3 linked regions of the Arabidopsis thaliana genome follow. The protein of the gene in region 3 interacts with the protein of the main gene of each other region in a pairwise test. Each region holds a gene or a part of one and is shown on either strand. Other genes may lie near its edges.

What was found.
Region 1: the proteins of AT5G12190 (region 3) and BZIP24 interact in a two-hybrid assay, tested with the Arabidopsis thaliana proteins (one large-scale study listed by BioGRID).
Region 2: the proteins of AT5G12190 (region 3) and NACA5 interact in a two-hybrid assay, tested with the Arabidopsis thaliana proteins (one large-scale study listed by BioGRID).

Annotation. Positions count from the first base shown.
Region 1 is NC_003074.8:19,281,811-19,286,099, reverse strand, and holds BZIP24 (basic leucine zipper 24), read left to right. Parts: upstream 1-1,907; 5' UTR 1,908-2,035; coding exon 2,036-2,094; exon of another isoform or gene 2,095-2,250; coding exon 2,251-2,446; intron 2,447-2,531; coding exon 2,532-2,838; intron 2,839-3,147; coding exon 3,148-3,272; 3' UTR 3,273-3,710; downstream 3,711-4,289. Other genes in the region: AT3G51980 (ARM repeat superfamily protein), read left to right, coding at 77-289; ASAT1 (acyl-CoA sterol acyl transferase 1), read right to left, coding at 643-1,680. UniProt on the Arabidopsis thaliana protein: Transcription factor involved in the regulation of salt stress response. Functions as a negative transcriptional regulator of salt stress acclimation response by regulating cation homeostasis.
Region 2 is NC_003070.9:11,964,427-11,968,378, reverse strand, and holds NACA5 (nascent polypeptide-associated complex subunit alpha-like protein 5), read right to left. Parts: upstream 1,957-3,952; 5' UTR 1,833-1,956; coding exon 1,764-1,832; intron 1,675-1,763; coding exon 1,596-1,674; intron 1,259-1,595; coding exon 1,128-1,258; intron 1,034-1,127; coding exon 683-1,033; 3' UTR 536-682; downstream 1-535. Other genes in the region: AT1G33050 (uncharacterized protein), read left to right, coding at 1-18; AT1G33030 (O-methyltransferase family protein), read left to right, coding at 2,167-2,543, 2,638-2,951, 3,028-3,092, 3,192-3,494; AT1G33020 (F-box and associated interaction domains-containing protein), read right to left, coding at 3,547-3,726. UniProt on the Arabidopsis thaliana protein: May promote appropriate targeting of ribosome-nascent polypeptide complexes.
Region 3 is NC_003076.8:3,939,856-3,943,239, reverse strand, and holds AT5G12190 (RNA-binding (RRM/RBD/RNP motifs) family protein), read left to right. Parts: upstream 1-1,803; 5' UTR 1,804-2,134; coding exon 2,135-2,509; 3' UTR 2,510-2,759; downstream 2,760-3,384. Other genes in the region: PYD2 (pyrimidine 2), read left to right, coding at 1-86, 277-364, 445-523, 632-719, 808-848, 923-975, 1,086-1,242, 1,346-1,540. UniProt on the Arabidopsis thaliana protein: May be necessary for the splicing of pre-mRNA.

The sequences.
Region 1 (4,289 bases), on a different chromosome or scaffold from region 3:
ATGACCGTTTTTCTTCCTCTATGAATCTTGGCACACATCTCTTTCTAACTTATGCTACTCGGAAAATATGTTTCAGGCTCTTACAGCAATCCAAACTCTTCTTCAACTTAAATCCATAGAGCCTCAGGTTCTCAAAGAGTCCTGCGGGTTGGAAGAAGCATTAGAGAGAATGAAGCTACAGCTGGAGGAATCAATGGCGGATGAATACAAGAGAGACTATGCTGCAGATGTGGAGAGCATTCGTGGTGAAGTGGAACTGATCTTCCGCCAAAAGCTTGGACTTTTATGAACACCATGATCAGTAAGAAAGCAACTCCCTGTGCGTTAATTTCTGGTGGGAAAAGCTTTAGCTGTAGGAGTTGTAGACAAATTCTAACTGCCTTAGATAGACTTAAGATGTGTAACTTAGGCGGATCTTGCTGATCCATTTTGCATGTTATTGCCTCTACTCGAGCGGGTTTCTTCCCCTCATCTTTACTTTCATATCATGTTTGCAAGGTTTTATGTATAGTATTATGAACTTCCACAATTTTCTTGATTCGTGTGCCATGTAAATGATGGGGTTGCAGAAATGTCGGTTTTACAGTGTTAGAAAAAAATAAGTTAAAATAGAGATCACTCAAGCTTTGTCACACGGCAGGGTTAAAAAAGATATGCGGTCAGTTTCCTCCTGACCTCGACTGCAAATGCGCCTATGGCTGCGTACTCATCAAGAGCCTTCTCAACTATGTTGCACCGATTAAATTCGGGCAAGAACAGCCACAATGCCGTCACCATCACAAAAGTGAGTGTCAAAACCTGACTGATTGCTTTCGGGAATCTCCACCTACCGTTAATGGTTTTCTTGATGGCGATCTCCACGGTCGTGCAAAATCCATTTATGAGGAAGAACCACATCATCTTCCAGTCTGGCCTCAACCGTCCCATGTAGAAGAAGATGAGCTCGTGCATTATCCCAGAGACAACAAACGTCCCGAAAGCTGCAAGAATCTGGGAATAGTTCGGGCCCAAAACCGAGAACAGTTGAAGTGACGGTTCGTACACGGTTGGCCGTAAGATTCCAGTGACCATCAGGTTCCATCGTCTCCCCCAGAAATCTTGAAGTGATGTCGCTAGGTACGGCTTGTTGAACTGTGGCTCGAGCTCAAGATCCGACATGGCTCGAACCGCAGCAGCTGTGGCGGCAAGGATGATCTCAAGGGCGAAATATATGTGGATCGCGTAGAGAGTCAGCACGACTTTCTCAGGCAATTTGGTACTGTATTCGTAGGCTTTGATGATGAGAACCACAAAAACTGCCTTTATGGTATAAATCAAAGGACCCTCTGTGGATCCTTCATGGGAGTGAGTTTTTGTAGGTTTTGGGCTCAGCTGAATCTTGATGGGCAAGCAAGAGACAGCTAAGAAAATAGGGAGAGATAGGGGTTTATGGTTTGAAGAGAGAGGACCGCGCCCTAATGCAAATAATAAGAGCTTGAAATTTGCTAGCCAAGCGATGAAGAAAGCCGTGATGCCGAGTAAATGTAAGGAATATATCAAGAAAGGTACTATGAAGAAAATGAGGAAGACAGGGAAAAATAGTATGAGCCTTTTGATTCCTTTTGGAACCAATTTGGCAATGAAAAAAGTGTAACACAGTGAGATGATCACTAAACCCCATGCCTTGATGAAACTCGCCATTTTTGCTTCTTGAACTCAAATCTCGTCGGGAAGCAAGATGATGATGATAAACACGTTTACAAAACGTGTCCGCCAGCGAACACTAAATAATGATAGAGACGTGCAATAAGTTAAAATCCATGAGAAAAGTCTTCTTCTTTTTCTATACGAAACAATTTGACAATTGACATTAAAGAACCAATTCTCTTTCTTATAATATATTATTCATTGGGGTCTGGGGATATGGTAAATGGCTTTGCTTATTGTTCCGTCGTAATTTCTAGTAATAAAACCATTTCAAAGTTTGGTACAGACAAAAAAAAAAACATTTTAAGGTAATCTCAAAACCAAAAAGCCTATCAATCTTTGTACTTGGATGTTTTGTTGTTGCAAGGATTGCAGAGGAAACCAACGAGTTTCTAACTTTGATTCTCTGTAAGATTTTTCTTTCTTGGGCCATGTCAAAAAATTATAAAGAGTTGACTACTGTTTTATTCATCCACTATGTTAATCAAGAACATATTCTTCAACACCATCTTTACTTTAATCAAAAACCCTAATAATATCACCATAATTCTATGTCCCAAACAGAACAGGTGTTTTCTTTGGAGATCTTGAGTTTGGACCTCAGAATCAAAGATATATAAAGATGAATGAGGAAGAAGATAAAGATCAAGATCGAGTAACGAGAGGATGTAGTCACACTCATAGCTGTAACCCTCCAGGCCCAGAGGATGCTTCTCACTCCCACACATGCTTCCACGCTCACACTCATCTCATCATCTCTGTAATAATATCTCTTCCCTTAAGATATGGTATGTTTCTGATGATATTTTAATGGATTGTTATAGATACATATTTTTATGTTGCAGCAGGATCAGCAAGAGAATGATCATTCTGACAGTAGCAACAAGAAACGGTTATGTGGTAATAGAGAGGCAGTGAGGAAGTACAGGGAGAAGAAGAAGGCTCGCACTGCATACCTTGAAGATGAAGTGATGAGATTGCAATCTCTGAATGAGCAATTCCTTAGAAAACTTCAGAGCCAAGAAATGGTGGAAACTGAATTGATCAGACTCCGGGCTCTTCTGGTAGAGATGCAGGGGAAAATTGAAGTTGAACTTTGTAGTTTCTCGTTTCAGAAACAATGCAACGGTTCTGGTTTTGTGTTCAAAGAAGGTGATTTCTCCTACTATTTGGTTTACTAGTTGAAATTGGTTGTCAACAATCTGATACGTTGATGAAAAATTTAGCATTAAGAGGAAGAACTAGTAAATAGCTAATGAAATTTGAGCTACTGAAATTTTATTGAACAATACGAAACGCTAAAGAACTAGTTTCATTTATTTGGTTATCGTCTTAGTAAAAATCACATTTTCGAATAATGAAAACGTAAACTAATAGTAAACCATTCATCACCATCATTTTTATACAAAAGTGACCTAGACCTAATCTTGACACAATTTTGGATCTCGTGTAATCACACAGATGGATGCAACTTAGCAACAAGTAATATGATGTGTGAAGCGGCAAGAGTGGAGTGCGAGGAGGGCCAAACACTTCATGATCCTATTCAATCTTTTGTTCCTCAACCACCACCATTCTCACGTTAAGCGTTTACGGGCTGTGGTATTGTGTGTATATATATACATATGGGTTTAATTAGGGGCATAGAGGTCGGATTCCAATATAGTTAACATATACACAGATTGGTAACTTATTCTACATATGTCTATTTTAAGGGTACCAAAACATCTTGATGTGGAATTGATTTTGAAATGAAGAGGAGGATGATTGTAGATTTGTAGTTGTATGTATATATGATGATAATTGTGGGCTTAGAAGATCTTTGGGGGTCCATTTATAGATTCTCTATATGTGGGTATGGTGAATACCCAAACCAATAATAGATAAGGACTTAAGGTATGCATCATACATGCATGTGTATATCATAAATTTCAAATGCAAATGAATTCCATTGGTGTGGAATAGACTGCCCCAATCATTATTTTTTTTTTTCAATTCGCCTCAAACATTTGCGCATAATAATCATTCTCCCCCATGTAAAATTTACATGCGAATCAAATATTTCTGGATGAGTCAATGATAAGGCCGCAATGTTAGATTTTTGGGGTAAATTATTTAGCAAAGAGTATATATACTTTATAATATTGAAAACACATAATCATAGAGTGAAGTGTTAGGTGCCTCGGCTCTTGTGACTAGACTAGACCACTGCTTTTGACACCCAAAAAATAACTATTATAATCATTGCTTTCCTTTGTGGGTCATTCTTCTTTTATAAAAAGGTCCTTTCGAAATTTTAAATTTTCAAAAAATAATAATTCTTTTTTAACCCTACATTAATTTAGAACAATCATGTCTTTTCATCTTTAATCCTACCCTCTCATGAATATTTTATTAAAGCAAAAAAAAACATACTCAATACTTTGAATATGTGAAACTACGTGTGTAAGATTTTTTCTAGATAATTAGTTATGTTGCTTCAAATAAGAAACCTATGGAATTGGTCAACACATTTGACAATAAATCATATGCCCATGAGATTAATTAAGACAGATTTTAATAATGAAATGGTTTTTATTTAATTTCATGTGATCGAAGCATGC
Region 2 (3,952 bases), on a different chromosome or scaffold from region 3:
TCGAACCCATATCCTTGAAGATATTAGAAAGGTGACATCAAATCATCCATCCCCTCTAAAAATACTTTGAAGGGCAATGACATGTCAGATTGGTAAGGCTTGCCCAAGATTTTTTTTGATTTTGCAGGTTGGCATGTAAAATATCAAAGAACAGCCTCAAGATCTCCAATTTCTGGATGGAGACTAGATAAGGCATACAAATCATTTTCCTAAGAAGTGGCTGACACATGACTAATTGTGCAGAAAGATGAAGTTGGTACTCCTTTCTACAAGTTACCCTTTATTTTACTTATGGTCATGTCGATTCAAGAGAATGAACACTGATACTATTTCTCAGAATCACTACTGAATAAATTGGTCTTTTTTCTTATCAGAACCTGGGAAATGTTTGGACGTGGAGCCTATTGATTGCTGAAGATTGTAATGTTTTCTTGTTATGGTCCTGACTCTTTGATTAAGAGATGTATAAACAAACCACTGTTACTCTTTTGTTAACTACTACGTCATCACACTTTTGTTATATAGTGCCTATAATGACCGCAAATTAAATACTTTGATCAGAGTAGACAGATAATGACTTCAAATCAAGGGGAGACATAATTAATAATGTTCAAAGAAAATGGTAGCTGAGACAAGAAACAATGAAACAAAAGCACAATTTAGGTGGCTCTACTACTCAACTCTATGTAGTGAGTTCCATAATGGCTGAAACGATATCCCCATCATTAGCCTTTAGAGCACTGACGGCTTTGGCCTTGGAGACACCTGCTTGGGTCATGACAAGATCAATGTCTCTGGCTTCAACACCAGTGTCATCAACATCGTCTTCGTCTTCTTCCTCTGCTAGTGGAGCCATGGTAGCTTCAGAACCGGCGTTAGGTAGCATGGATGTCACATCAGGCATCTTAAACCTCTGAGCAGCTTGAGTCTGTAGCTGAGAGCTCAAATCGTCGACCTTGGCCTCTCCAAAAATGACGTAAGTCTCTGCATTGGGACTCTTGTAAACATCTGGCTTCGAGATGACAAATAACACCTGACATAGATGCAATATTTTCCACAATCATCAAACCTATGTTACTTATAACCAGAGACATGAGAGTTTATTGATTGTTAGAAGATTTGTTTACATTCTTGGCTCTTTTGATTGTCACTCTGCTGACATCTGAGACAGGTTTCATGCCAAGCTTTAGAACAGCTTTGCGACTTTTCTTCTCGCTTCTACTTTGCTTTGCATTCTCATTTCCACCTTCCCCTTCAACTACACAGCCAAAACATTGAAACAAAACCCGAAATTAACAAAGGTTTCTCTTTTTAGTGTTCCATAGAGAAACAAATTCACATTTAAGAGCTATAGCTCAAGCTTAATCTAGGGCTTATGAACCTCAAGTTCAACAATTTTCTGATTTTCTACAAACCTAAAAGACAAATCTTATCTATACACTAACGTTTCTAGAAACATACATAGACCACTCGAAATCAAAGCATGAATCAGAATCAAACGAGTAAATTCCGGTTAACCGAAATAAATCAAACCGGAAGGAAAATGAAATGAAAGAGAGAGTAAGGAAAATGAAATGAAAGAGAGAGTACATTACCTTCGACGTCCTCATCGTCTTCATCATCGTCTTCTTCCTCTCCGTCTTTCACATCCTCCACAACAACATCATCTTCCTTCTGTTTCCACCAGAAACCATTATCAAATTCGACGACAACAACAAATCGGAAACAAAATCGCTCGGAGGAAAAGAAAAAAAAAGACGAACCTCGAGTTTCAATTGCTCTTTGATGGATTCAATCTGAGATTTCTCTTCCTCCACAATTGCTCCTGGCATCTTTCTTCTTCTTTTCTTTCTTAGCGCAGCAAGACCTTCCTTAACAGTGAGTGACAGATGAAACAAATAAAGTAGATAAATGATCCTCTGCTCCGCGGTTCACTATAAACAAACCCAATGGTCGTCAATTAAAAGCCCATTGGGCCTCAGTCTCAAAAACTTTGATTTGTTCTTTAGTTTACTTGGCGAATTTACGTACGTCTCCATGCCAGAATGGTCAAAAAAAAGAGAAGAAACTATTAGTCTAAAGAAATGAAGCATTCACAATTTGACTAGAATTGACAAAAGCTTTTGCTTTGTTTCAGAGATTCAGGAAGCAAGAAAAATTTAGAAAATGGAAGAACAAAACCTCTCCTCGTACGCAATGATCTTATCAAGCTCTTCTGTTCTTCCCATGGTTCTTAAGACAGCCATTGATCTTGGTCTCTTTGACATATTAGCTGAATCTGGTCCTTCCTCTGCTTCTCAGATCTTTTCTTTGTTGTCTAATGAGACAAAGAAACATCATGATTCAAGCTTGGTCAATCGGATTCTGAGATTTCTTGCGAGTTACTCTATACTCACATGCTCTGTTTCTACTGAACACGGTGAGCCATTTGCAATCTATGGCTTAGCTCCTGTTGCCAAGTACTTCACCAAGAACCAAAATGGAGGTGGATCGTTGGCTCCGATGGTGAATCTGTTTCAGGACAAGGTCGTGACTGATATGTGGTAACATCATTAACAACATCCTCACTCTTTCGTCTTAAAACGTTATCATCTTTGACTTGTTATGCAATCTGATGTTGTATTTACCTATAAAAAGGTACAACCTTAAAGATTCTGTTCTTGAAGGAGGGCTTCCATTCAACAACACTCACGGTTCAAGCGCGGTTGAACTGGTAGGCAGTGATTCAAGATTCAGAGAAGTGTTCCAAAGCTCCATGAAAGGTTTCAATGAAGTATTCATAGAAGAATTTCTAAAGAACTACAATGGTTTTGATGGTGTGAAGTCTTTGGTTGATGTTGGTGGTGGAGATGGCTCTCTTCTCAGTAGAATCATCTCTAAGCATACTCACATTATCAAAGCTATTAACTTTGATTTGCCCACTGTTATCAACACTTCATTACCTTCTCCAGGTACAGATACAAGTTCTTGAATATATTCTGTTGTATAGTAAATGATCTTTAATGTCATAACTTTTTATGGTTGTAGGAATTGAGCATGTTGCTGGAGATATGTTTACAAACACTCCTAAAGGAGAAGCTATTTTCATGAAGGTTAACTTTTTTAAAAGCTTTCTCAAGTCTTAACAGAATCATATACTTAAAAAAAGATAATATCTAGGTTTCTTGTGTGTTTGCTACAACTTATAACAGTGGATGCTCCATAGCTGGGACGATGACCATTGCGTGAAGATACTTTCCAACTGTTATCAGTCGTTACCGTCAAATGGGAAGGTGATTGTAGTCGATATGGTAATCCCAGAGTTCCCAGGAGACACTCTCTTAGACAGAAGCTTGTTTCAGTTTGAGTTGTTCATGATGAACATGAACCCATCAGGGAAAGAACGAACAAAGAAAGAATTCGAGATCTTAGCTCGTCTCGCCGGATTCTCTAATGTCCAAGTTCCATTCACATCTCTCTGTTTCTCAGTTCTTGAGTTCCACAAGAACAAGTGATATGTATCATTTTGATTTAAGACGTGTTCTTCAAGATTCACAGACCCCGAATCTAAGGGTTCTGTTCCTTTTCTACTTGAATAGTTACATGATGTCTCTTGATATATTCAATCACCTTGTCAAGTATCGCGTCTGTGTCTGCCTCGGGCTTGATGCTAACCTGTGAAGCTAAAGAAACTTTGCCGACGGTGATTGACCAAATATGAAGCTCATGGACCGCCGTTACTCTGTTCTACAAAGAGGGCTTCCTTTCAACAACAATCACGGTTCAAGCGCGCTTGAGTTGGTAGGAAGAGATTCAAGATTCAGAGAAGTGTCTCAAAGCTCCATGAGAGATTTCAGTGAAGTTTACATGAAAATAATATCCGAAAAAAAATCAAAATCACCAACTAAAGAACCAAAACGAACTAATAAAAACTGGGAACTGGATTGAGAGCAATGTTGCAGGTTTTGAATAG
Region 3 (3,384 bases):
GGCTCGTTTTATTAACACGCCTCTCTATGTTGTTCATGTGATGAGTGTTGATGCAATGGACGAGATTGCTAAAGCTCGAAAATCAGGTTTTCTGTTACAACTCATGTAGGACTAACCTTTTGCTTTTCTCATTGTATGGACATTATCCTGTTAGAAATCAATCTCCTATCCGAACATCCACTAGTGCAATAACATATGTGTAGAAAAGTACCTTTCAAATTTTTACTTAGTATTTGGCTTAATAAATATGAAAAGTTTTTTTGTTATGTATTTCAGGACAGAAGGTTATTGGAGAGCCTGTTGTGTCTGGATTAATCCTTGATGATCATTGGCTTTGGGATCCTGACTTCACAATTGCGTCCAAGTAATAAATCCTTCAGTTCTGTTAATCAAATGATTCCCATTTATTCTTTCAGATTTTCAAAGTTTTTCTCAATATTTCAGGTATGTCATGAGTCCACCTATCAGACCAGTAGGACATGGGAAAGCCCTACAAGATGCCCTTTCCACAGGAATCCTTCAGGTTTCTTTCCTCGCTGTGCATAAACTAGAGAATTGCATGACCTGTAGCATCAAAATGTTAAGATCTTCTAAACACCTTTTTCTCCTTTTATTGGGATAATCTCTGCAGCTTGTAGGAACTGATCACTGCACTTTCAATTCTACACAAAAAGCTCTAGGACTTGATGATTTCCGCAGAATACCTAATGGTGTTAATGGTAATAGCTGACTTGACTGGTTTCTTGCTTTCTCTGCTCACTGCCCCTGCTAACCTGTAAATACTTTTGAACTTGTCCATATGTTTAGGCCTTGAGGAACGGATGCACTTGATATGGGACACGATGGTGGTAAGTACTTGTGGAATAATAAATTCTTCTTTCTGTACAGAAGTTTTAATCGTTTTCTGTATATCCTAATCCAGGAGTCTGGCCAACTCTCAGCTACTGATTATGTTCGAATAACCAGCACTGAGTGGTATATATGCTCTTTCGAAGCTTCTTTTTAATGTTGAAAATTTGCTTTTTCCAATGAGCTTTTACTTGAAAGTTATGTGTTTGCATTTGAAATGACTTTAAGTTTGTCAGTGCTAGAATTTTCAACATATATCCACGGAAAGGAGCTATCCTTGCTGGCTCGGATGCAGATATTATCATATTGAATCCAAACTCAAGCTACGAGATTAGCTCAAAGTCTCATCATTCAAGATCAGACACAAACGTCTACGAGGGCAGAAGAGGAAAGGTAATGATACCCTTTTTACAAACAATTCGTCTTTACTGATTTGTATAATCTCTGAGCAATCATAACCTTTTATTTTATTGGGGACTTGATTGTTAAATCTCAGGGAAAAGTTGAAGTGACAATAGCAGGAGGACGAATTGTGTGGGAAAACGAGGAACTTAAAGTTGTTCCAAGAAGTGGCAAGTATATAGAGATGCCTCCTTTCAGTTACCTTTTCGATGGTATTGAGAAATCAGATGCTAATTATCTATCTTCTCTTCGAGCTCCAGTTAAGCGTGTCAGAACTGAAGCTACGTAAAGTGCAGGTATCTATCTGCATATCGTGATTCTGTAAGAACAATTGTACATAATTTGTATTAAAAGTATTGAAAGAGCGATTATGAATAATGTGCATGTAGTCTGGTTTTGAGAAAAAATAAAAGATTGTAAAATTTATCCGTGAGTTAATTAGTCTATGTTCTCTTTATCTCAAATCCTGTGTGTATTAGAAGAAAAAGAGGAGACATGCGAAAAGCTTCTTAGTTTAAACATTACTGTTTCCAATAATCAAGCTTTTGAGCTGGAGGCCGCACAGGTATATAAGGCTGCTTTTTTAGTAGGTTGATCAACACTGAAAGGCGTTCAGGTTTTTGCCATCAAACCAGAAATAGATATCGGTTTGGTAAATTACTTTTGGTTTTAATGGTTTACATAAAATCGTCAATCAAAATCCCCCAAGCCTGCATTCGGAAAGACGATTATACCCTTTAATTCTTCCACCCTATAAATACTCGCATCGCATCAATCGTAATCAGAACTATTAACTTTCATTTTCCGATAGAAGAACTTTTTTCACGGCGGCGATAACAAATCACCGGCTAATAAAGGAAGGAAAAGAAGAAGAAGAGAAGCTATGACAACAATCAGTCTTCGCAAGAGTAACACCAGACTCCCACCGGAGGTGAATCGCGTGCTCTACGTTCGTAACCTTCCCTTTAACATAACGAGCGAAGAGATGTACGATATCTTCGGCAAGTACGGCGCAATTCGCCAGATTCGAATCGGTTGCGACAAGGCGACGAAAGGTACTGCCTTCGTCGTTTACGAGGATATCTACGATGCCAAGAACGCCGTCGACCATCTCTCTGGCTTCAACGTCGCGAATCGGTACCTAATCGTGTTATACTACCAGCACGCGAAGATGAGCAAGAAGTTTGACCAGAAGAAGAGTGAAGATGAGATCACCAAGTTGCAGGAGAAGTATGGAGTCTCTACCAAAGATAAGTAATTGTCCTTGAATTCGATCTTCTTATGGTCGTTCTGTTACTGCTGCAATTTAGGGTTTTGAAATTCTGGGAGATGTGAAACTTTCTTTTATCTGTATGAATTTAGTGGAGTTCTTTATGTAAGGTTTGCTCTTTTGTCATTTACATCGACCAAGCAATGAAAAATACATCTTTTAATCCCAAATTAGCTATTGCTGTGACAATTTTTTTTGTGCTTTGATGCAATTTTCCGAGATTGGTGTTCAGTGTTTTGCTAGGAACTAAGTAAGAACGAAAAATCACTAACACATACAAGAGAATTGAAAAAGAAGAACTTAAGTACATTGAGAAAATATACATAATTCAACAGCTCTCCCAAATCCCCTTTCAAGTCTGTTAATATGCATTGTGGTTGCGATAAACGTTCCATTGTCTATATTGTTCCATTACCATCAGCCTCGACCTGTATGATTCGCAGAGCCGAACAAAATAAAGAAAAACAGAAAATAGTGTTAGTCTCCTTGCTGCTCGGCGTTGAAACTCTTGCAAGTACAAGAAGTACTCATAGCTTCCGTTAACTGCTGACTTCATTTTCTGACAACCTTGTACCTTTGCTTAGTAAGTCCCTGTCTTAACTCCTCGAGTGTAATTGTTCCACTGCTATCAGTGTCCATACCTTTAAACTTCAACCCCATGATCTCTTCCTCTGACAAGCAGTTGGTCGTTGTTTGGAATCAGAGTTGAGCATCTTTTTGTTTACAGTTTTATGATGCAGGGAGAGAGTATGGTGTGGTGTGTCAACCAGTTGGATTTTGATCAAATGAGGGGTACTATATTGAATGCACTTGCTGATGTTTATGTGGAAGATGGAATTATTTTCGCACTGCAGCCAAACATC